Oreochromis niloticus: one gene and its partner. The protein of the gene in region 1 interacts with the protein of each later gene in a pairwise test. Links are inferred from orthologs where the notes say so. Each region holds a gene or a part of one and is shown in the gene's direction. Other genes may lie near its edges.

Region 1 (11,939 bases):
CACATGCAGATCTTTGCTTTGTTTTTCGTAGAAATTCTCTAAGAAAACACAGCCTCTCTCACATGGCGACTTTGATCTCCCCGCGCCCTTTCTTATCTGCCGCAGGTGCTTCACACAGCCGAGGCTTTCCAGAAGATCCTGAGGGAGGAGGAGAAGAGGAGGAGGAAGGAGGAGAAGAGGAAAGAGATCAGGAAAGGACCTCGCATATCCCGCTCTCGCACCGAGCTATAGCGCTACACCTCACCGAGCGTGAAGAGCAGAGGAGAGGGAGGAAGAGGAGGAGGAGGAGGAGATGAGAAGGCGCGTACACTCGCAGTCCACAAGGGGTGGCTTGACTTGTAGACTCTGGTGACAGTGAAGAAAAACAAAAAGCTGCCGTCACTTGTACAAAAGCCAGGTGCTCGAGAAAGAGAGAGAGAGAGAGAGAGAAAACCTGAGTGTGACAGGAGGGGGTTAGTCCACATCTGGGAAAAGCCTGAGCTGCTGTACATCAGCAGTTCTTTAGAATTTGGGGGGAAGGAAAAAATAACTAGATAAATAACTCTCTGGAGATGAAGTTAAGGCAAACTCATTTTTGATAACTTGAAGATTATGTAACTGAACTTTGGGATATTAATTCATTTTAGTCTAATCGTTTTTCTTCAGAACTTTGCGAAGCCCCCGCTGTACTGTGTCTGGTCTCGGTTTAATGTGTCTAAAATCCCATACGCTTCAAGTAGGTGCGATTGCCAAATTTGACCTTATGGAAATGTGGCATGTTTATGGTTGGGTTAGGCTCGACCGCTGATTGAATATTATTTCTAAGAGCTGTTGAATTTCCCAAAGGATGTTTGTGAATAGGCAGATTTACATTCCCACTGCTGCTCAGAATTAATAAGGAGACATAATTATGTTGCGTTTGCCTGAAGGATGCCGTAATGACAAAGATGGGTTCATTTTTATGTCTGCTATTTTATTTCCATCTGAGGGACTCATTTGAGAATTTTTTTTTTTAATTGACCATATAGTTTTTTCTGCCTTAATGAGCCTTCACATTATTTTTATCCTGTCAACCGGAAATACAACATGTGACCATTCATCTAGAAGTCCCTCGTCTTTAACCTTTTTTCCATATTTTTTTCCCTTCCTTTTTAAATTGACACGTTTTGTGGATTCAGAGCTACACAATTGAGAGTGATGTAATTTTCATATAGTAATAATGACTGTTATGAAAACTATATGTATATTCAGAGAAAAATATCATTGCTGCAGAATGAACAAGCCATTTTGTTAACACGTGTAATGAAATAAAGTGACTCTGATACATAAGGAAGAAAATTATATATATATATATCAATATATAGATATATATTATATTTGTACTTCATGTGGCTTCATAGTGTAGGGATGTCAATCTCATTTTACATTGTGGGCCACGCACAGCCCTCTTTGACCATAAATGGGCCGGACCAGTGAAAGTACAAAATAAATAATACAAGTAAAATTACAGAAAACGCTCTGGTAGTTCATTACACAGACTGTCCCTGTACTTATATAATATAAAGGTTTTGTTAATTCACAAAAAATGTCTCTCTTTTTTTTTACTGTGTCATTTACCTGTCATTTAATTGTTTATCTGTTTATTAATTACTCTTATTATGAATGGCAACTGGGCTGAGCAGTCTTTATCAATAGGAAAAACTGTAACACAAACTCTATACAAAGAATCAGGGCTTTATATGTGACAACTCTACACTTTGGGGTTTGCACATTTGCATAATAACAAACAAAAGGTTACCGGTTCGAGCCCGGAAAGACACGCAGATCTCTTGTGATTGTGTCAGGATGGGGGTTAGAAAAAAGAAGTAATCTTCCAAATCATACATGTGAATATGAGAGCGGCTGAAAGCAGCCCCCTCTGTGCTCCACAGACCTGCTACATTTGTTTTGTTGAGCAGATGAACCGACAGAGGGCAGGAAACCGTCAAAGACACAAAGTCCAGTGTTTGCATTTCATATGCGGGCTGAACAGTTTGACTTCAGCCCATCTGTGGCCGCATGTAGAGGATGAAGGGCAAGCTGGCATGCAGAGAAGAAACGGCTTTTTAGTCTCTCTGCGAAATGTTTCATCATTTGGACTCTGGTAAGATCATACTTTGATGTTTCTGTCAAAAGTTAGCGACTTGCTAACGAAAGCTAAGCTAAAGCCGTTAACGTGCTAAGGCCGAATTATTAGCAGGCAGTATAATTAACGACATTAAAGCGTGAGCTCTTCATTCGACATTTGATGTTTACTTTCAGGGTATGTTGTCACTGGGTGGTGTTAAAGTTAGACACTTAATTTAACCACCTAGTGGATGTTGCTAGCTTCGCGTCCCTCTTGCTTGTAGCTAACCTATTGATGTTTTGTTTATGTGCAAGAAGCTTCCTGATGCTCTCACTTTACAAAGCTCATTACATTGCTGTTATCTTTCCCAAAGACACAAAGTGGAGATAATACAAGCCTTGGCTGCTGTCTGCTTTTTCACTGGCCATTACATTTGTAGTGAACATTTAAAAAAAAATAAAAATAAAGTAGTCTGAACGTTAACGCCAAATTTTTTCTGCTCCTAATGTTCTGTTAGAAGACAGGGAGGGGAACAAGGAACCAGTACACATGGAGTGTGAGAAGGAAGGAGTCGACTCTGAGACCAGGTGGGGCGAAGAGCTCAGACTGGTCCTCATTGGAAAGACCGGATCTGGCAAGAGTGCATCTGGGAACACCATCCTGGGCCGCAGGCAGTTCCTGTCACAGGTCAGCGCCAGCTCTGTCACTCAGATTTGCGAGATGGGAAGCACTGAGCTCGCTGAAGAAGATGGCCGGGCCGTCCCACAGAGGAGAGTGAGGCGAATCATGGTTGTTGACATGCCAGGTTTTGGAGACACTCACCTCAGTGTGGAGCAGATTCACGCAGAGATTGCCAAATGTGTCTCTCTCTCTGCCCCTGGCCCCCACGCTTTCCTCCTTGTGGTGCCAATAGGACGATACACAGACAACGAGAACCAGGCTGTTTGTGAGCTGGCCAAGATATTTGGGGGAGGATGCTGTATTTCACCATACAGTGGTTCTTTTTACCAGGGGGGGATGACCTAGAGGGCATGGTGATAGAAGAATATCTGAAAATGACTGCACCTCCTGGGCTGAGGGCTCTGATAGACAAGTGTGGGGGTAGGTACCATGTTCTCAACAACAAAGACCCCAGTAACACAGCACAAGTTAAAGAGCTCTTGGTGAAGGTAGACAGCATGGTGAGGCAGAGTAACGGAGGGTTTTATACTAACACCATGTTTTTAGAGGCAGAGGCTGCAATCCGGGAGGAGCAGGATAGGATGTTGGGAGAGCGAGGGCAAGCAGAGGGTGAAGACCAAGAAGGAAGTAACTGCAGAACTGAAGAGGAGGCTAAACTTGCAAAAAGAAGAAAATGTGATTTAGAGTCTGACATAGCAGGAAGCAGCGAGAGAGGATTACAAGAGCTCCAGAGGAAAGGGGTAGAAAGAGGAAGTGAAGATGATCTAAGGGTGGAGAAATGGGCAAAGGAGAGCAGAAGCAGTCCCTTCAGCCTGCTGAGAGACCAGATCAGAGGCCGACATCGGGGCCAAGGCAGAGCTGTCAGCCGGCGGCCATCTGTCCGGTCATCACTGATTCGTTTCAGGAGGGAAGCCGCGCTCTCTCCCAAGGTGCTGGAGAGAGTTAAGGTCCTGGTGGCTGCTGGAGCCACTGGCATGGCAGTTGGGGCAGTTTTCGGAGCGGCTGCCCCTTTGGCAGCTGCAGCTGGGGCATCTCTTGCTGGGAACTCGATTGGTTTTGCTGCAGCTCAGTTAGCTGGGATGTCCGTGGCGGGAGGCTCGGGTGTGGGGAATGCCGTGGGCGCCATAGTGGCGGCAGCCTCGGGGAAAACTGCAGTGGCTCTGGGCGCAGCAACAGGTGGAGTTCTGGGTAGTTCTGTGGGAGCCATTGCTAGCGCTGAGGCTTCCAGTCCTGCAGAAGGTGCTTTAGATGCCCTCACCCAGGTTAGCATCATAGGGGCCACTGCAGTCGGGGTGGCGGCCGGTGTGGGATGCACCATGGCAGGTGGGGCTGCTTTAGGAGCAGCTCTGGAGGGAGCAGCTGCCCTCGGTGGAGCTGAAACTGCAGCAGCAGCAGGAGTAGCTCAGGGTAGTTTAGCGTCAGCAGCCGCTGGGACTCCTCAGTGTGCTGCTGCCTTAGCTCAGGAAGTGGCCGCTGGTGCTGCATGTGGGGTAACAGGACCCAGTGTGGCAACAGCAGCCAGCAGGGTTGCATCAGACCCGTGGGGCACCATGTCGGCAACAGCACGCATCCTGAGCGCGGTGGCCGAAATTGGCAAAGCTGCAGCCGGCATCGCCCTCGCTGGTGGTCTGGTGGTGAAGGTGGTGAAGGAAAAAGTGAGAAGCGGCACAGGAACGACGGAGGCTTCCTACTCAGAGAAGAAGTCTTATGAAATCTACTGGAACAAATAAATACAGGCTGAGCGTAGAGTCCAAATCCAGGATGTAAGAGATGTATTTTTCCACCTTCACAATAAACACCACACAACACAGTAACTTACTGCAGTGAGGGATATTTTTACATGGTTGTAAATGATCAAAGATGCACTGCTAGCAACAACATCTGTGTAATAAAGTTGTATGCAGTATTAATATGAAGCCACTTTATGAGGAAAAGGTAGAATCTCTCAATCTAAATGTTGGTTCAAGCCGAAGCTGAATAATCCATGACATTTGCACTTGTGTGGGATGACTGAAAGGCATATTAGATGGGTGTTGATTCTGCTGTTTCTTATTTTTAAACATGTTAGAAGGTTGTGATGCATTTCAGTGCTGGTTGGTATTTAAACACACCTTAGTCCTTGAGCACACATCATACTTAAAAAAAATTTTTTTACAGTGAGTATAATAAACAGAAAAAAGTGTTTGCCATGCCAAATATGTATATGAACAAAGTGGACTAATGACGTATTGAAAAGTTTCCATCCTGAATGATTTGCAGTGATTGGCTGGTTTTATTGCACTGTTTAACATCATGTAATAATTAAACCAGGAGAGTTATACAGTTATGTATTAACACAGGTAAAACATATGCTGCAAATGAGTTAGCAGTTCATTCATGTGTTTTTGCAGTGAAATAAAGAAAATACAAATATTGTTGCAAGAACTAACGTTTTTGGCTTCTTTTTTCCTTGTGGAATTATATTGGTGTTATCTTTTTGAACACCACACATGGCAGTATAATCAACTATGGTTCTCCATTTGAAGAATTCTGAAACACATTAAGTAACAATGATCATGCTTAGAATTAAGATCTGTGCCATTTTAAATGTATAGATTTGATGACTTTGTTAGGTACACTAATACCTGGTTGGAAGCCCTTTTGCCTTCAGAGCTGACTTAATTTTTCCTGGCATGGATTCAACAACAACGTCCCAAAGATGCTCTGTTGGACTGACGTCTTGTGACCGTGGAGGCCATTTGAGTACAGTGAACTCATGTTCAAGAAACCAGTTTGAGATGATGTCAGCTTTATGGGTATGTTATCCTGTGAGAAGCAACCATCAGAAGATGGGTACACTGTAGTTATAACTGGATGGGCATGATCAGCAACAATACTCAGGTAGGCTGTGGTGTGATGGTCAGTTGGTACTAAGGGGACCAAAGTGAACCAAGAAAATACCCCCCATATCATTAAACCACCACCACATAATACAGGGCAGGATAGATCCATACTTTTCATGTTCACGCCAAATTTGAACCATACCATCTGAACGTGCCAGCAGAAAGACCCGTCAGACTATATAAAATTTTTCAAGTTTTCTGTTGAGCAGTTTGGGTGAGCCCATGTAAAGTGTTGCCACAGTTTCAGCTGACAGGATGAGCACCCAGTCTGGTCTTCTGCTGCCCATCTACTTCAAGGTTCAACGTATATTTAGCAATGCTGTTCTGCATACCTTGGCTTATTTTGCCTTCCTTTCTAAAGAACTCTGGCCATTGTCCTCTGACCTCTGACATGAAAAAGTTATTTTTACTCACCGAACTTCCGCTCACTTTTCTGTTTTTCAGAGAATTCTCTCTGGAGATGGTTGTCTGTGGGAAATCCCTGTAGATCAGCAGTTGCTAAAACACACAGCGCAGCCCATCTGCCACCAAGTTTATGCCAATAACCTTAAAGCCACTTAAACTCCCATATTTCTCCATGTTTCTGGTGCTCAGTTTGAACTTCAGCAGGTCGACCTTATCCACATGCCTAATGTAGATCTCTGTATCTCATTGTACAACTGTATAGTGACAATAAAGGCATTCTATTCTATTCTATTCTAAATGTGATTGATTACCTACCTAATAAAGTCGCAGGTGACTATAGATGGGTAGCTCAACTGTAGTTCTTTCATTTTTATTAACACAGTATCATACAATTTTTATGCTTAAAAAGTAAAACTTGGAGTATATGCCATTAACCTTTTTTGTCTATAACACAACTTGTAATCTTTGATGGGTTAAAAGGTAAACAATAAATAAGATAGTATTAATCCGTACGCTGGAAAACATGCTTAAGAAACGAGTGAAACTGTTAAAACGTGTATTTTTGCGAATGACTGCAGAATGACTGTGTGTGTTTATCGCCGTCATCTTTTCCAAGGAGCAGCATTTGTCCACCGAGGTCGGGTTCTTTTCATGAAGGTAGGGGGAGCGGTTTATTCAAATGACACCCAAGCTTCTGATGGTTGACGTACTATCAGACCACGGCGAATACTGGCCTGTCATTGGACGATGATGACTGGTCTCATGACAAGAACGGACAGGTCTCAGCCAATCAGATCCCGCTATGGGCCACGGAGTCTGTTTGTGAATGACGTAATGAGCGTGAAACAAGATGGCGTCGCCTCAAACATAAATTGATGCCAATGAGTTTATCGGTGTAGAAGTGCTCCTCTCTTGGGGCTTCTGTGTTGTTTTGGGGTTGTTCAGGTGAAAGGACATATTCCGCGGTCAGTTAGGTGTGTGGTAGGCGTTGCCGAACGCCCACGGAGGAGCTCGTGGACCTTGTTTGTTTTGTCCCTCCGGTGACAACCGGAGAGGAGAGCTGCTGACAGATAGGATGGACAGCGGGGAGTATATCTCCACCATGGAGAACATGGACCCGACTTTAGCGGAATTAGGGGACGAATTCACCTTGGGAGACATTGACGGTGAGTGACCGTGTCACTGTTTAAAAAAAATTAGGAAGGGTAAGCTGTGTTTCACGAGTGTTGGCCTGTTTCCGTTTAGCCCGACAGCTGTTCTTCCTGCCGAGCGGAAGGAGATGAGCAGCTCTGGCTCTTAATTCTTGCGACAATGTTTAAGTATTCAAGATACCGCTCAGGAAAAAAGAGAGCACTTATATTTAGTAGTCCTCGAATGCTCTGTTATTTTGGCATTATCGTTGTGTATTTTCTTCTGTTTGTTTCTCTAATCCCCCCCACACACACAAAAAAAAGACAAAAAAAAACAAAACAATCACACAAACAATTAACCTAAACTAAAAGATGAAGAAGTGATACTGTTGTTGTCTTGACTCCTCCATAAGAAGTGTCAGTTACTTTCTGACCTTCTTCTTGTTCTTGAAGGAAGCTTTTCCTCCTACTTGAGCATCTTTTTGCTTCTGCAGACCTAATTGAGCATCATCTGTGGGACAACATCTCTGTCAAAAATAAATAAATAAATAAATAAAACAGATTGCGTTTTGCAGTCTGTGGGCCTGTACCCTGTGAACAAACAGCATCCTTGTTCCAACTTCCCTGTTATCAAAACATGTTTCACCCTTTGGCACACAGTGAAAGGATGGGGGCTTTTGGTGTGAGGCTGGCCAACGCAGAGTCACCAGATTTTTATTAGGGTGGAATTTTACTGAATGCTAACCCACCAGACCGGATTGATACACGTGTGTGTGTGTGTGTGTGTGTGTGTGTGTGTGTGTCGCACAGTATGGGATGAATTGGTTGTGTTAGGTTTAAATTAGTCATCAGCATACAACCAACCAAAGTGCTCTGAGATCATGCAAAGCCCAATAAAGATTACTATGTTTTGTTTTTTTTAAAGCAGTATGCTCTACTGCTTGTATGTTTAATTTGTTGTTTGTGATTGTACAAAAACCTTTTTCAATAAAAAGACTTTGATTAAAAAAAGATTACTATGCATGGGTTTGAAAACCTACCTGCCGGTGGCATCTGGTGTTAATTCTCTGTGGTGAACAGCCCATGTCACAGCTATTTAATCTCACTTAATCAATGTGTCAAAAGAAGAATGTGCAGATTGTGTGAAAGTCAAATGACTGTTGAGGTTTGACTGATCCTAACTTGACTTTTGCTTCACTCAGTGCATTTTGCCTGCAGCTATTTGGGGGAAAAATGCAGGTTTCCCATGAGGAAAAGCATTTAACTGCTGCAAATTCAGATTAGTCACGAGCTTTTCTTTTGTGCATTTGACTCCGTATTAATGTCGAATATTCTTGCTTTTCCAATTATTCACTTAACAACTGCTGCTCTGCTTATGTAACTTATTTTCTCTGCTCTCAGCAGCCCACAAAATTGTCCCCCACTACACCCTCACCCTCGCCCTGTACCCCCATTTAATGGATTTACCCTTTGTTTCGGAGTCTCTGTCTGAAGCTCCAGGGGCTCAGAGTTGCTTTGTTCTGTCAGCCACTGTAACCCCCTCCCCTCGAGGTGTTGAAGTGTGCGAGTGCCCTACTGTAAGTGTAAATTCGACTGGATGGTTGGTAGAAACGCTCCTGAGAGGAAGCCCATTTAGTGTTCCTGTGGTGCGGCTTATTTGAAATCACGTCCTGCGCTCCTCTGGGCTCACTTTTCAAAGCAAGCCTCAAAGTGTTTCCCTTTTATTGGTTTTGAAAGTGGTCATCACTGTTTCTTTACCTCTGTGTCAACACAGGTCACATGCAGACTTCAGTCATGGCTATGAGTGCATGAATTACTGGCCTTGACCTCTCTGCTGCTAGTGTTGGACTGTTGATCTCTTTTTTTACAGCTTGAGATTTTGCAGCAGTAGAAATGCAGATATGATATATGATCCAAGATGAGATCTGAACACAGATGAGTTTGTTTTAAAGACTTGTTGGATTTCAATTCATCTCTGGAGTTGGCAACCCGGCACACTGATGAGAACGAACGCCTTTTATTGTTTTTGTACGCTGCACTGAAATGCAGCGAGTGATCAAAGACAAAGCTGACAGGATGCTGGCTTCTTTTCCAAACATATCTGAGAACCTTTTGGTGTTTTAAAAAGTTTGTGAGTTTTCCTTCTTCGCTTTGCAGCTTCAAGCATCTATTCTTGTACCCCAGTGCTTTTTGTGTTGCGTTTGTTTCGAACATTACATCATTAAAGTAGAAATACAAAATGTCCTGCAGCGATATTGTGCTAAAAAAAATGTAGGAACCTTATCTAGAAGTCAAATCACCAAAAAAGGAAGCAGTAACTTTATTGCAGGCATAAAAGATGCAGAACATGTTTCACTGCGCTGGGATTGATAAAGGGTCTTATAGTACTGTATTACACAGTCGCCTTGTATTTTCCTGATGCCAAAAAAATCACTCATTAATGCAGGAAAAATTCACTCACTTTGAGGCTGCAAAGTAGTGACTGTAGTTAACTTTAACATGTGGCTTGCAGGGCTTCTTAGGTGTATTGATATGTGGTGTCCAAGGGTTGTGCGCTTAGTGATTTAACACTTGACAAAAAGTTCTTTGTGTCTTTTGTATTGCCTGATTTCTCCGCCTCACATTAAGATAAAGTTCAAGGTTACAGGCTCAGCTTATTGACGCTGCGCTGACCCTGAGAGCTAAGGGCATAGGCACTATCAGTGACATAAGCAGGCAAGCTTCAACCACATGGGATACGTCAAAAGTGTTTTCAGTTCCAAAGTCCTGTGAGAAATTCTGCAAAGCGTGCACTAATCAATTCTTTTCTCTGGTCCCAGTGATATTTCATAATATCGTTGTCTTTTTTTGGAAGGGGATTCATTTTAGAAACTTTAACCTTCAAATTACTAAAGTAAATAATACTTAGCAAGACAGTCATTTGAACCAACACGGTGATTCCAAAAGAGTCAATAGCAACAGCAGTACCATCAGATTTGATCCACCATACAGTAACATCTGGAAATTATCTTATTGGCAGCAACTTCATTTTCCAGCATCCACACAGTGATCCCAAACACAATGCCAACCCAGTAAAAGCATGCCTGGATAGAAAAACACACAATGGAGCGCAGTCAGTGATGGATTGGCCTCCCCAGATCCCAGAACCCAACATTATTGAAGTGGCATGGGATCATCCTGACAGAGGACAGAACAAAAGGCAGCCAACATGCAAACAAGACCTTTGAATGTCCTTCAAGAAGTCTGGAGTATTCCTGAAGATTACTTGATAGGTGCCTAAGAGAGATCAGGCTGCCAGTCATACCAAATATTGACTCTCAGGCTTGTTACAAGTGTAGAAAAGCTCACTTTGCCCTAAATACTGTATTTGTGTGCATGTTTGCCCAAGTTTTGATAAATAGCTGCACATATTACCCATTTTTCTAGCAAAATATAAAGAAATGAGTGGTGGTTCAAGACTTTGGCACAGTACTGCATTTGACAAGAATGTGCTGGGAACATATTGCAAGAGGCTGTGATATGATTATATAAGTGTATTGATATTTTGTCTCAACACTATTTCTATCAGTGATTTTTGCAAACGAAATGTCAAAAAAATGCTTAATATTTTACCTCATACTTAAACCTCATATACAAAAAAACATTCCCAAAAATAATCAAGACATTAAGTTGATCATTGTTTCCTAATAAAACCTCTCCTCACGAGGAGGCAGTTTGTTTTAGATTTAGTACGATGGGTCTAATGAACTGGCAACTAAGTGCATATTGTCATGTTGCCAAACCACGAGGACCAGCATACACACTGTCAGTGAGTGGGTGAGTGAGTGGGTGGGGGGCATGTATCTGTCTATCACGCCTTTCAGAGCTGCTCGATTCTTCATCTAAGTGTTCTTTACTCTTTCTGCCAATCTCTTTTGTAGCATCAATTGAGATTACATCAAACTTCTTCAAGGCCTTCTGTTTGAAGGTTTCTTTATACTGATTTATGACCAGAACAGTAGCTGTGCTTGTGTGGATATCTGTCAATTCAAGGTCAGGTCTTGAAGTTTCTGTTCATATCTTTGGCTGATCTACACTGAAGCAACCTGCACGAGGCCTCACTTACAGAGGAGACTTGCAGAGATGTTCAGATACACCTCAGATGATGTTTTTGACTTCTTGTCTGTTTACTTTCTCCCTATTTTCAGAGATGCTGCAGTTTGTCAGCAATCAGGTGGGGGACTTCCCAGACTTGTTCGATGATCAGATGAACTCAGCAGGCTCTCTGCAGAGTGGTGGAGTCGCCTCCACCCCACGGCCTCAACCTCAAATTGCTCAGACGCCCCAGACACCGCAGCCCTCAACCAATGCTGCCTACCAGAGCTCCAACGCTTGCTTCACCTCCTCCCAGACACTGTCCCCACATTCAGTACCCCTCACCCCTCCCCTCACTCCCGCACAAACCCCCTCCCCCCCAGCCAGTGCTTCAGTGCAGCAACAGGTGACCCGCAGCCCTCCACTCCTTCAACCAAGGCCTCAGATGGTCCAACCCATCCAGCCTCAACCCCAACAGACAGCCCAGACAACCATCCAGGTACAGATTTACCTGACGCTTTCTCACACGCTACTCGTACAGTCCTATTAGGAGTGGAGAAAGCTGTAGTCTGACTGTTACAGTGATGGACTAGTGCTGCAGTGGTGCTTCTGCTGACATAAAAACATTTTCTGACTGCTTAAAGACTGTAACAGATAAACAAAAATCTGTTTTTCTGTTTT
Region 2 (12,438 bases), on another chromosome or scaffold:
CAGCAGAGTCTAACATGAACGGGAGAAAAAAAAAAGCCTCTCCACAGGTGCCTGAAGGACCAACCAACAGCAGCCCAAGCAAGCCTGGGCACTGGTTGTTTACTGTCAGCCCCCTGCTGACAGTAAACAGCTACACCATGTAACAGTGGTCTGCAGAGCTGGTGGTAAACTCTGCAAACTACCAATTTAAAACCTTGGAAAAGCCGTAAGTAGAAGATTATACTCGGACAGCTGCAGACGCTACGGAGAAGAAGTCTTGGCATACTTTTTTGACTTCTACCCGGTGGACTCATCTCTGTAAATGGGTCCACAGGGTCACAGAAAACTTGGAGGGATGTGGATGTATGTCAGAGTGTCGCTCTGACCATCTGATGATCAAATTTCCATCACGTGGACCCAGTTTGAACCCTTCCATAGTTGGAATGGTGAAAATGATTACACCTGTGTAAAAAGCTACCATCAGCTGCTCTTTTATTCACCAGGAGTCGCCACAGTGGGTAGATGATTTGAGTTTTTTTTTAAACTCTGGATATCCTTCCCGAGGCAAGCCAAAAGGGATGTTTGTCTCCTCCTGAGTTTAAACTGGATGTTTCGCTGTTAGAACCACTGCAATATGGAGCTATTGTTACACCTATGTAACAAATTTTCCCAAACTCTTCCATAGGTGAACTCATAAAAGTCCTTTAATGACCCAAAAGGATTGGAATTGACTGATTGGTTGGCTGATTAAAATCGGCAGATATCGGCCTTTCACAGATGCATAATACACATATCATTTGAATCTACTGTTTGACCCGGGCCCTTTCTGTGTGGAGTTTACATGTTCTCCCTGTGTCTGCACGAGTTCTCTTTGGGTACTCAAGCTTCCTCCCACAGTCCAAAGACATCCAGTTATTGGGGTTAAAGTAATTGGTGATTCTAAATTGCCCATAGGTGTGAATGGTTGTCTGTCCGTGTTAACCCTATCGCGGATTGATGACCTGTCCAGGGTTTACCTTGCCTCTTACACTAAGCCACCTGGGATAGACTCCAGACCCCCCACCACCTTGAATTGGATAAGTGACAAAAAAAATGTTAAATGAATGGAAGGATGGAAAATAAGTATCAGCATCTGCCCCAAAAATCCCATATTAGGGGAGCTGGGTATGGATGGCAGTGGTGCCATCTTTGATTGTGGCTCCAAAGCGGTGAGCCAACATCTTACAGCGAGAGAGGATCAAAGCTGGCTGTTCTTACAGCTTTTCTACCAAAACAGAGGCTGGGGAAAATTTCTGACAGGGTCAGAAGTTTAGGACAGCTCACAGTGAAACTTCAGCCATGACCTGTGTCTACTACCCAGCCAGTGGGAATGCAAGAGAGACATCAGCATATGTGGGGGAAAAAAACAGAATAAATGGAAGTGTTACCTGTTTCCAACACAGAGGAAAATATATCTGAGCTGTGGCAGCTGCAATGTGTCTACATCTGTTAACAGGACCCGTGACAAGGTGGATGTAGCAAGGAAACAAACAATGAAGATTTTGCAGCTGTACATTGTTGCCCTTGAGTCAGTAGGTATTATCGTACAGCCTTCATGCATCAAACTTGATGTCCTACCCATGCTTATTAGATCACTGCCGCAGAGCGTGTTGGTGCCTCAAGCGATTAAAGCTCCTGCCGCTCGTGTCCCAAGAATGAACCCTGTTTCAAAGCCACTTTGATGTTTTGCACTTGCCATTGTGATTCAAAAACAGAACCAACTGGGCCTGCGTTTGTATACGTGCCGCCGAGCGTGACTGGATGCTATTTACCATGAAGTGCACTTGTAGAAGCATCTGCATTTTCTCCGCTCATTTAAGTTTTTCTTTTCCTTTCTGGATCTTTGCAGTTTTGGCCAAATTTGGCTGCATTAAAAGCCTTTTTGTGATTTAATTATGGTGTTACATGATCAGCTGCTGAAATGGATGTGTAGCATTTTCGTATCAAGATCAGAAAAAATACTGTACTGCTCTTAAACCACACACGGCTACTAAAATGCAGCTTTTCCAGTGTTGCTCTTCAAGCAACAGCTGCAGCTTGTTGGAAATCTTCACAACTTCTAAAAATGTCAGTCAAACGAGCTGTTTGCACAAAATTAGATGGCACTGGCCAGCCTGTGCCTGTATGACTCCCTCAAAATCCACTCTGACTAAATTTAGCAACTATACATATGTATTCAGTTATTCTAGTGGCAGGACATCTGTGGGTGCACTAATACTCCACACTCAGATGATGAAAGGCATAAGTAAACATCTCTGCAGATCTGTCCAGAGTTTGGTGTAACTGTCTTTTATAAAGGAACATGTTGTACAAGTATGCACTTTAATAACTTGGTTTTATTTATGCCCTTTGCACAAGTAAATTAAACATTTACACTATTATTGGGATTTTTTTTATACAATAATATTGGGATATTGTAAAAAAAAAAAATAATAAAAAAATTCTTATTTGGTAATATAGGTACCATTAGAGTTCAGATGTTTTTTGCTAATAAATCCATTATGCCACACAAGGTACATGTTTCAGAAAATCATGGGAACAATTTTTTTTTCCTCGTCTGATGACATTCAAAAAGCAACATGAAAAAAATAAAATGTCTGGACTGGAAGTTCTACTGGAGCTCATACATTAGATGATAGTATATCAGAAATCTACGATAGTTAAGATCTAAGCTGAAGATTTTATACCATTCAGCTGCAGCTACAGTACACCAGGCCTTGTCTTATAATCACTTATAATCTTCCCTTACCCCTGTTAACCCTTAATAAAGACTCACCCTCTAATAAGGAGTTTAAATTGAAGCAGTTAGTCACCACCAGTTAGTATTGCTCTGTCTTATTGCTATACTGTGATGATGACTTTTAAAAACACTGTGTAGTTTTTTTCTTTTTGCTAACTATCAGCATGTGGCTTCCCAGGACGGTCTGTCAGAAGACACGTACCGGAGTTTAAGGATATTATAGAGTACCTGGATTACCTGAATCTGGATGAGCCTATCATTGGTGAATAACTTTGCAGAAAGTTTTAAGCAGATGTTTTTTTAAAATACCAGATTATTTGATTGTTTTTAACTTTTTGTTTGTTCTTAATTTCCAGGTTTGAACTTTTTGGAAGAGGGGCCTCCTAGTGACCGACAAATAGGCCCCAAATACTTATGTAAGCTCTGTAATCAGTCAGCTGTCCTTGCAGAAATGGTCTGTCATGTGATTGGACGCAAACACAGGCAGAAATATGTGGTAAAGCATTCAGAGCATTACTTAAAACCTTCTTTGTTATTCTGTTTTCCTTTATAATAAGATGTTAAAGCAAAGAGAGATCACATTCCCTTTCTGTAGGAATTGAAGCGGCCTGACTTGGTGACCTGGGATAGACCCTCTGTACAAACCCTCGGGGGGAAGATCATGCGCGCCAAAGCAGAAATAATAGAGAGACAGGATGGTAGAGGGACTCCAAAGGTATGCCAGATGAATTACCCAAATTACACACCATATTTTACATTCTTCTAAAATTCTATACATTTTGTTACATACAGTAAATGTTTATTATTCTTGTTTTGTTCTTGTTTTTTTTCAGTCATTGTTCAAAAAGGGGAACGAGAGTAGATCAAACAGCTCAAGAGGTAACTTGATTGATATTAAACATGGTTAAAAAGTAATTTTAAAATACAAGGAAAGGTTACAGACACATTGGGAAAACGTTTGGTTGTATTTTTCTCTAATTATTACTTGATTATTAGCTTTCCAAAGGCAGAGGCAAAACAGGGAGCAGACGAACCCACAAGATTTGCCACCACTCCTACCCGAACTCAAGGACTATCACCGAAGGAAGCATGCCTCAAGTTACCCAAACGCATCTGCATTTCCTCCGAATGAACCTAACATGAACGTAGACAGGCGCAGCCAGCGGGAGAACAGGCTTAGCAATGAGCGCACCAGAGATGAACCGCGAAGGTCGGATTTCAGGGAAGGCCATGCGTACAGAGAAGGCTACATGGACTCTGATTATCGTCATCAGTATGAAGAGGGATATGGTGGAGATTCACAAAGAAGTTTGGCACTTGAGCGAGGTGATGCTCCCAAGTATGATTTTAGGGAGGATTTGCCTCGTGGCCTTGGTCAGTCTGACTATTACCCTGAGGGGGCACCTCCTTATAGAAGAGCCTATCCAGAAAGAGAGTCTGTTCAGGATTTCCACTCTGAGGATGTCAGGGGTGGGAACGGTCGTTCTGAGTATTCACCCTCCCAGGCCATGTACCCTGAAGGTGATAAACTGCGGTGGTCCCTGGAGAGGGAAGCTGATAGGCACGACGGTATGAACAAAGCAGGTAGACAGGGATCAAGTGAACCAGAAGCCAGGAGGAGGAACTTCTCTCCATCTATGGAGGGGGACCGATCACGTGACAATTTGTTCAATATAATTCAAGATTATCGTCATGAGTTGAGAGAGGCGCATCAAGATGAGGCAGTTGATAGGAGAGCTGGAGGCCCAGCCTCACAGAGACACATGGATGTTGGCAGAACCATTTCTAACATCCCAGAGCCATTCAGGCGGTTCCTGAAAGGAGGCGCCGAAGATGATGTTCACGGTAAAAGGAAAAGAAAGAGCCGCTTCTCTGATGCTACTCCAGAGGAAGTGGAAGGGACAAGGGAAATGTAAGTGTAAAAATTGTAGTTGTTTTTTTTTTTTGGAAAGTGTTGTGGGCTGCTTTTATTTATTTTTTTTTTTACATGTGTGATTGCTGCTTTCAGGTATGGGGATAATTATGGATCTCCAAATCCAAAGTTTGGAGGTGACGCAAGGCCAGGTAGTGCACCAATGAGTGGAGGACAATTTTCAGACCTCTACAGAGAACCACAGGTAGTTTATTTTAACATCACAGTAGAGTAATGTCCAGTAAAACAAATCTTTATTGACGCAAGACCTTTTGCTTTTTTAGGGTCCACATCATCCTGAAATGAACCAAAGAGGAGGCTCTGAGTCGGAGGGCGTCTTTGATATGCTGGTAAGATAATTAGTCGTTATTGGCGACTTGCACATGTTTGTGAGTCATGTTTTTGTTATGCAACTATTCACTCAGTTCTCAGTGTGTTGTTTTTTTTTTTCCCCTTTCACATTTTCTTAGAGCAACATTGAAATTGAGAATGCTGAAGAGGCTGACTTCTTGAAAAGTAAACTTTGCAACCTGCTTAAAGAATTCAAAACGAAAAAGATGGAGAAAGCTGTGGTATGAGTCATTCTGCACACCGCCTGTCTTTTTAATATAATATTAGTAAAAGAACACAAAGACTTTGCTTATATTAACAAAACGTTTGGTTTTGTCATGGTAGCAGAACAGCCACGGTCGAGAAGGGATCCCCAGAAACTACAGCAACATGGAGCTGGACCCTCGACAGCCGCCGTTCGAGAGGAACATGAGAGATGATTCGCACCACAGACAGTCAGAAGACCTCGACTTCAGAGACTGGAGGCAGCGTGAGCATCTTCCAGAGGAGCGGCACAATGTTTATCCCCCCCCTGCACACGAAGATTCCAGATACTCAAAAAGAGGCCGCTTTGAAGGTATAGTACATCACAGTGCAGTTTATTTAAACCCATTAGGGTTCAATAGTCTTATATAAAAGTTAGAGATATCAATAAAAATAACACAAGCATAATTTTCTTGAAAAATATTAGGCAAAAATAAGTATGGTAGGTTTTAAATCAATATACAGCTCAAAATAAAGGCAGACAGTAGAAGGCCACTCAGTAGTTGCTTCTTTAAAGACCCTTTCATCCATTAGTAGAGCTGCTTGTACCAGAAAGGTAGGGTAGATCAGTTTCTATAATACCTGCAAAGTTTTCCCTAATGTTCAACTCAGCAAGGCTCTCAGTTCATCCAAACCAGAGCTTCGACCAGCTGACGTAATTTTCTCCATGGTATCCCTCGGGTGATCTGTGGGATTTGGGTCAGGGCTCTGGGAGGGCCCCTCTATTAGAAAATATTCTTTCAGCAGGCAGCTGGTAGGCTGTGAATTATTGTCCTGCTGAAAGATCCTCTTCTGTGGCTTAAATCATCATTTGGCTGCTTTTTTCATTTCAAAATCCTTTCTATATCTCATCAGTTAAAAACGAATTTATCTGCTCAGTTGCAGGCTGTGATGTTCCCAGCTCTGTGCTTTCAAGTCAGTTCCACATGAACATGTGTCTGTAGCAGAATAACCACAGGTATAGTTCATCACATTAACAACAGGCATGGTTCAGGTCTGATAAACAGGAGAGGGAGGGGTATAATCACGCCTTTTGTCTGGAATTGTGCTGTATGTGTTGTTGTATGGATCGAATGCCAATTTATTGACGTATTAATAAAATAACCTTATGAACTTTGAGGTTTAAATGAAAATTGATGGGATTTTCTTCTTTGAATGTATTTTGAGTTTTGTTGTGGTATCTTTTAGGATAGTTTAGTTCAATTTATGTATAATGAGGCATAGTTTGCAAAGGTGTCTAAATTCACCTTTTGATTTTATGTAATAAATGAATTTGATTGCATCGTTAAATAAGATAATAAACAATAAGTTGTATATTCAGCTTCCCTGTGTCAGAGGAAGTGTGCCTGATTCCACTTTCTTTCATGTAATTCAATTTCATTCCTCTTTTTGTTTTTGTTTTTTGTTTTTTCAGAGGAATCTGGAGCTCCTCATACAAACTGCTTAGATGAGCCGCCCTATTATCCTGAAAGGTTTCCAGAATCCCTGCCGTCTCGTGACTACCAGCCTCCTGTTGGAGAGTTTTTCGACTCTCACTCTTCTGCACCTCCCCTCCACATGGAACAAGAATCCAGGATGCCCAGAGGACCCCGGTACTCTAACAACCTGGACAAAATCACCTCCGCCCTCCTGGAACTTGTGGCAAGGAAATAAATGTCATCACTGCAATCTCCATAATAGTCATGTATTATAATGCAGTGTTTTAAGGGTAAAGCTTAGATTTTAAAATGTGATTTGGGTTTAAATTTCTTTCCCTTCATTTTTCTTTCTTTCTGTTTTTTTTTTTTTTTGTTGTTGTTTGTGTTGGATATTTGCAAAGACCTTGGTTGATCAAATGTTGACGTCTGGTGTAAGAATTAAAACACTTGTCTACTGCAGTTGTAATCATTTCATTTTTTTCAAATTCCTTACTGACCAGCAGCCAGAAAAGTAATACTCTTATTGCCATCATTGTATTTCATATTTTCAGTGAATTTATTTTGAATTAACTGAATTAATTTGCAATGATTTGAGCTTCGTGGTGCTTTGTCATGCTGGCTGCAGCCATTAGAAGATGGGAACACTGGTTATAAAGGGAAGGGCTTTCATATTTATGCCAAATTCTGAACCTACCATCTGAATGTTGCAGCAGAAAATGAGACTCTGAGGAAAACACTGACTGGTCTACAATCTTCTGTTGCCCAATTTTGCTTAGCCTGGGCAAATTGTAGCCTCAGTTTCCTGTTCTTAGCTGAGACAAGTGGCACCCAATGTGATCTTCTGCAGCTAAAGCTCATCTACTTCAAGGTTGGACGTGTTGTGCATTAAGAAATACGCTGCTGCATAATTTGTGTTTAATGAGTGGTTATTTGAGTGACTGATGCCTTCCTCTAAGCTTGAAACAGTCTGTTCTCTGACCACTGACATCAACAAGGCATTTTCTCTCAGAGAACTCACTGGATCTATATATTTTTTGGTTGACTGTGAAGATCTCAGTTGATCAGCAGTTTCTGAAGTATTCAGACCAGCAACCATGCCTCATTCAAAGTCAATGAAATCACCTTTTTCCCCATTCCAGTGCTCAGTTTGAACTTCAGCGGTTCATATATAATGCATATATGCTGTATATATCTGTGTATGTATATATAAAATGTATTTGTTTTTTCCAAGTCACTTTGCTAATTTTACTATAAATGAGGACTTGGAGATATATAGACTACCTGAGCAATTAACTGTTTAGTGAATCAAATAATAATAAAAAACAAACAAACAAAAAACCTCACACTGACGCTTTCTCGGGGAACGTAACCTCTACGTCATCGCGTTGGACTCTTTCCGGTTCGAATAGCAGCCATCTTGTTTCCCCTTGCAGGCTAAATAAAATAAATAATACGCTGAGCTGGACTTCACTTCGAACCCGATAAAGAAAGTGAGTAAGAAATTAAAATTCATTTATCTGTGGAGTGTTTACATGAAAGTTGTCCGTGTTGGCTGGAGGTAGCTGTAATTACTTCGCTTCTTTTCATTTGCTGTTCTTGACCAATAGACGATTGTTTTGGAAGATGAACATAGGCGCCATTTCCCTCCCCGCTCTCTGAGGCGCTTATTGGTGGCCCGCTGAAAGGATCACGGACGCTCAGGAAACTGATGTTTTGTGTCCACCATTTTGGCTCATATCTGAGCGACTGTCAGACACACTGGCTATTTGCGCCTGACCCCGAATGGCGCCAGTTGCAGAACGAACTTAGCCCTAAAAACCTTGATTGGTGGAATCTAGTCCGAGGTTTGATTGGTCTGAAGGACAGATCCAAACGTTGTCTTTATTGGTTAGACTGTTTCTTCCTAGCATTGCAAACCTTTGCAAACTTTCATATGTTGGCAGGGCTCGCTGTCAGCTGGTAATTAAAATTACACACGCTGAGCTGTACAGCTCTCATCAGTCTGCATCCCCAGCCAGCTAACATTAACTCCACTAACGTTAGCATAAAGTCACGGTCAGCAGTGACCATCCTATTAGCTAGTATGCTGTATGTGTCTTCCTACGCCTGCTCCGTTAAGCATTTCACAGTGGGTACCACAGCACTACAGTGCATCTCAGTATTTTGTAGTTTATTTAGCATCCTTTGTGTGACGAATATATACCGGCTTCCGTATGCTAGCGTTGAATATAGCATTGAATTCCCTGGCTCCTTTTAGCCGCTGTGTTGAACCCAAACACCTTATAATGTAGCGACTATTTAAAGTCAACCTCCGTGCTAAATGCTGGGGTGTTAAAGCGCAAAGCTGCTCTACTCCTCGTGTGAATTCCCTGTGATGACTATATCATGCCTTTGTTTAAACTATTCATTACTTGGAAAAAAAAAATCTTGCACACAATGTTTAATTAATGAATACAGCTGTATTTTCAACCATACTAACCAAAGTCACACAACATGAAGATGCACCAAGTTAATATTTAGTTTAGTTATGCTTTAAACCTAACAGATATTCACCCCATTCTTACTACGACCTGTGTGCAGAAAACAATACAGTCTCTTTGTTGTGTTCCCACGAATATAAGAACTTAATAAAGAATAGGAGAGCTTAATCAGCTCTTATCAGCGGGACAAAAACGGTGTGCAACTTAGTATACTTTATCTCTCTAGAGGAGGTATGCTTTACGTCATCATTTGTGTGTAGGTTTAATTGAGCAGTTGAGGTCATATTTAAAAAGCCTGGGATATTAGAGCACCTTAGACAGCTTAAGTAAGCTGTGTGCAAGTCGCCCAGCTTACCATGTCGTTTTGCAGGTGTTCATGTGTTTTTCCATGTTTGCAGGTGAATGCATGGCTTGGCCTGGCTACCCTCAGGGTAGCTGCTGTGTTTATGAAACCCAACGTCTGGTTGGTGCATGTTTATCTCTAAACAGCGTCAGAGAAAGCAAACATGTTCCTGCTATGGGCAGTACAGGTCATGGGAAGGTCTCATTTCTGTGGTGACCTTGCCAGGTGTCATTACTGAGGCATTTTGGGTAGACTGAATGCAGCTACAGAGAGCTGTTCGAGCATGGCAACAGCAGTGGAGAGATTAGTCTTTGTGCAGCTCTGCTCTAATCATTAACTGGATGTCTGTAGTACCTGCTCTAGTCCCCATGCTCCTCACAAAAATAGTAAAGGGAACATTTAGCTTTGTTTCTCTTGAGTCTATCTTGTGCTCTCGCCCTCCCTCCACTTGTTCTACCCCTCCCTTCCTGTAGCAGCTCTCCTCTCTGTCCTTCTCCATCCTTCCGGTCCCCACTCCACCCCCCACCCCGGTTTTTCATTGATAGGGCAGTTTATTATCTTTCCTTGACTCTTGTGTAGCTGGATGTGTTCCTCTCTACAGTCTGTATTTTTTATTTTTTTATTAAAGCTTAACCTTCGGGCTGCACCGCCACTTGGTCGTATCTCAGCAGTTTACTCTCTAAGCTTTTAACAGGTTTGCCCATTAGAAGTAGAAGCATTCACGTCGTAGGTGGTGCATTAAACATCATGAGATGTGCACATGAGTACTAAAATCACTCTCTTGAGTTGCACACTAAAGGTTTTTGTGTCGAAAGTATGCACATTTAAGCAATGGAGAATTAACAAGAAGGACATTGTGTGACATTGCTGACGTGGTTTTTTTTGATGACGTTTCCATTGTGGAAGTTGCTGTGAGCACAGTTTTTGGGGTCAAGACAACATTGTCTTTGTTTATGGGTTTTCACCCATATCTCTTAAGTCTTGTTTATCCACAAATAGGATGAGAGTCAAATGAACTCTTTCTTTTTTTCTTTTTCTTTTTTCTCTCTGCCTTCTTCCACAACTGCTATCTAGTCAGCTGATTGTTCCATTTTGTACAAAGGCTCTCTATTGATTTGTTTTGCACAGAATAGTTTATTGTGTATATTTGATTGACACTGTGTAGGGTGTCATGGGATTTATAGTGGTTGCATTAAGTTGCCTCACTAAATGTTCACATGAGTCAAAAAATTTGTTGAATGGAGTTTGTCTAGCTAATTAATATTCTGAATACATAATGCATGACCAAGCATCTAGATATATTTGTTCCTCTGTTTGAATAATATTAAGAGTGATGTGAATCTCATTGTTAGAGGTAGGCTGGCTGGAGGCTAGATGTTTTCGGTGTGTACCTGTGACTGTGAGCAAGGATAACTGAGAATGCAAGGACAAAATGTGCATGTGTGTGGGTGTGCATGTAAGACCGTGCACAGGTATGAGACAGGGAGTCTGCTTAGTATGCTTTTGTACTTTAAATCATGTGGATGCAACATGCGGCATCAATTCTGGCACTTGGTTCAGCCAATAAGGTGCCCGCATAGCTGCCTGCATCACATTGCCGTCAGCCTGTACAAGCAGAGCGCAGGCGGGGCTTAGGGAGACATTTAGTTTGACATTGTAAATAAGCAGAGACCAGTTGTCAGAGAGCAGCCCGTGGAAGCTTTCTCATCCGTCCAGCAGCAGGAGAAGTAGAGACCGCTTGAGGACAGACAATGGCAAGGCAAGCCACAACCAGCACACCCTCACGCACTCCCTACAGAGCTTTCCACAACTTTATCTGCTCTTTTTCACCTATTCTCATGTCTACTCTCTTCCTCTTTTCTTTTCCCTGACCCCTATCCTGCAGCTCAAGGTAACTTAGAGCAGGAAGTTGGCTGTCGGTAAAAGGGGGTTGGGCAGAGGAAAGAGGAGGAGCAGGGGATTTGTCAGAGCTGATTGGTGTGTGTGGCTACCAATAGTGTATGAGGACACAGTCGTCTCATTGGTTTCGAGTATCGGAGTGAGGTGGGAGCTGGCTGCGAGGCGGGGTTTGAGTATCATGTAGCATGCTAGATTGATTACTCTTGAATGTTAAAGGGGAAGGAGGCTAGAAATTTTTGTCTGTGAGTCGGGAGTGCCGCTGTACTATTTGCCTGCTGTTGCGCTGTTGCCTGCCGCTGTGCTGGTCCTTCTATTCCTTCTCACCTTCTTCTCTGCACCAGGCCAGGGGTCACCTCAAAGACAAACACATGGGTCGCCGGCTAGAGAGGAGGAGGAGGAGGGTTAGGGAGCAGAAAGGAGGAGAAAGAGAGAGAAGGTCAGCGAGTTGAAGGGACTTGGGCTGAAGAGAAACAGCAGAGACGGGGTTGTATGTCTAGGTTGGAAGAGGACATTGGGAGGCTGTTGAAGGAGACGGGGCAATGTGTAAAGGCAGAGTGGGGGAGAGAGAGAAAAGAGGGAGGGGTGGAAGAAGGGGGGGGCTCGCTCTTCGCTCTGTGTCCGGGCTTAAAGCCTTTTTAAAGCCAGCCAGAGTGCCTTTTGTCTGTTGATACGATCAGGGGGACTGAAGGAAGTGAAGGAGCACGAGAGTTTTTCTGTCAACCTCTGTGCTGCCTCTGCTGCTGCTTTCAAGGAGACTTGGACAGGGCTATCTGTTTCTCTCTATTCTGCTGTGCTCCAGGCCGTTCACCATGAAGGGCACAGGGGTAAGTCTGACAGCTGAACACATACACAGCGAGAAGACCTTAAGTTGTCTTTGTTTTTTGTTTTTTTGTTTTTTTTTAAAAACGTCCACTTTTGGATGTTTCTCCATCTCTCTGCAACGATGAGATGTCTGTCCTTTACCGCCATCCTCACCCCTCCCCCTCCCATTCCTTCCCCCTCCCCTCACCTGTCCTGTAGTTCTCACCTTGGGA

What was found.
Region 2: the proteins of srebf2 (region 1) and nfyc interact in binary tests that used the Homo sapiens proteins (3 or more experiments, as listed by UniProt). The link is inferred for Oreochromis niloticus from reciprocal best matches to the Homo sapiens genes SREBF2 and NFYC.

Annotation. Positions count from the first base shown.
Region 1 is NC_031969.2:10,060,825-10,072,763, forward strand, and holds the start of srebf2 (sterol regulatory element-binding protein 2), read left to right. Parts: upstream 1-6,865; 5' UTR 6,866-7,129; coding exon 7,130-7,220; intron 7,221-11,371; coding exon 11,372-11,757; intron 11,758-11,939. Other genes in the region: ccdc134 (coiled-coil domain-containing protein 134), read left to right, coding at 106-231; uncharacterized protein LOC100696172, read left to right, coding at 3,061-4,497.
Region 2 is NC_031985.2:22,026,503-22,038,940, reverse strand, and holds the start of nfyc (nuclear transcription factor Y subunit gamma), read left to right. Parts: upstream 1-8,023; 5' UTR 8,024-8,172; intron 8,173-11,149; exon of another isoform or gene 11,150-11,264; intron 11,265-11,477; exon of another isoform or gene 11,478-12,228; intron 12,229-12,438. Other genes in the region: uncharacterized protein si:ch211-13c6.2, read left to right, coding at 2,922-3,020, 3,115-3,254, 3,354-3,473, 3,592-3,637, 3,755-4,670, 4,767-4,875, 4,955-5,020, 5,141-5,242 and 2 more. UniProt on the Homo sapiens protein: Component of the sequence-specific heterotrimeric transcription factor (NF-Y) which specifically recognizes a 5'-CCAAT-3' box motif found in the promoters of its target genes.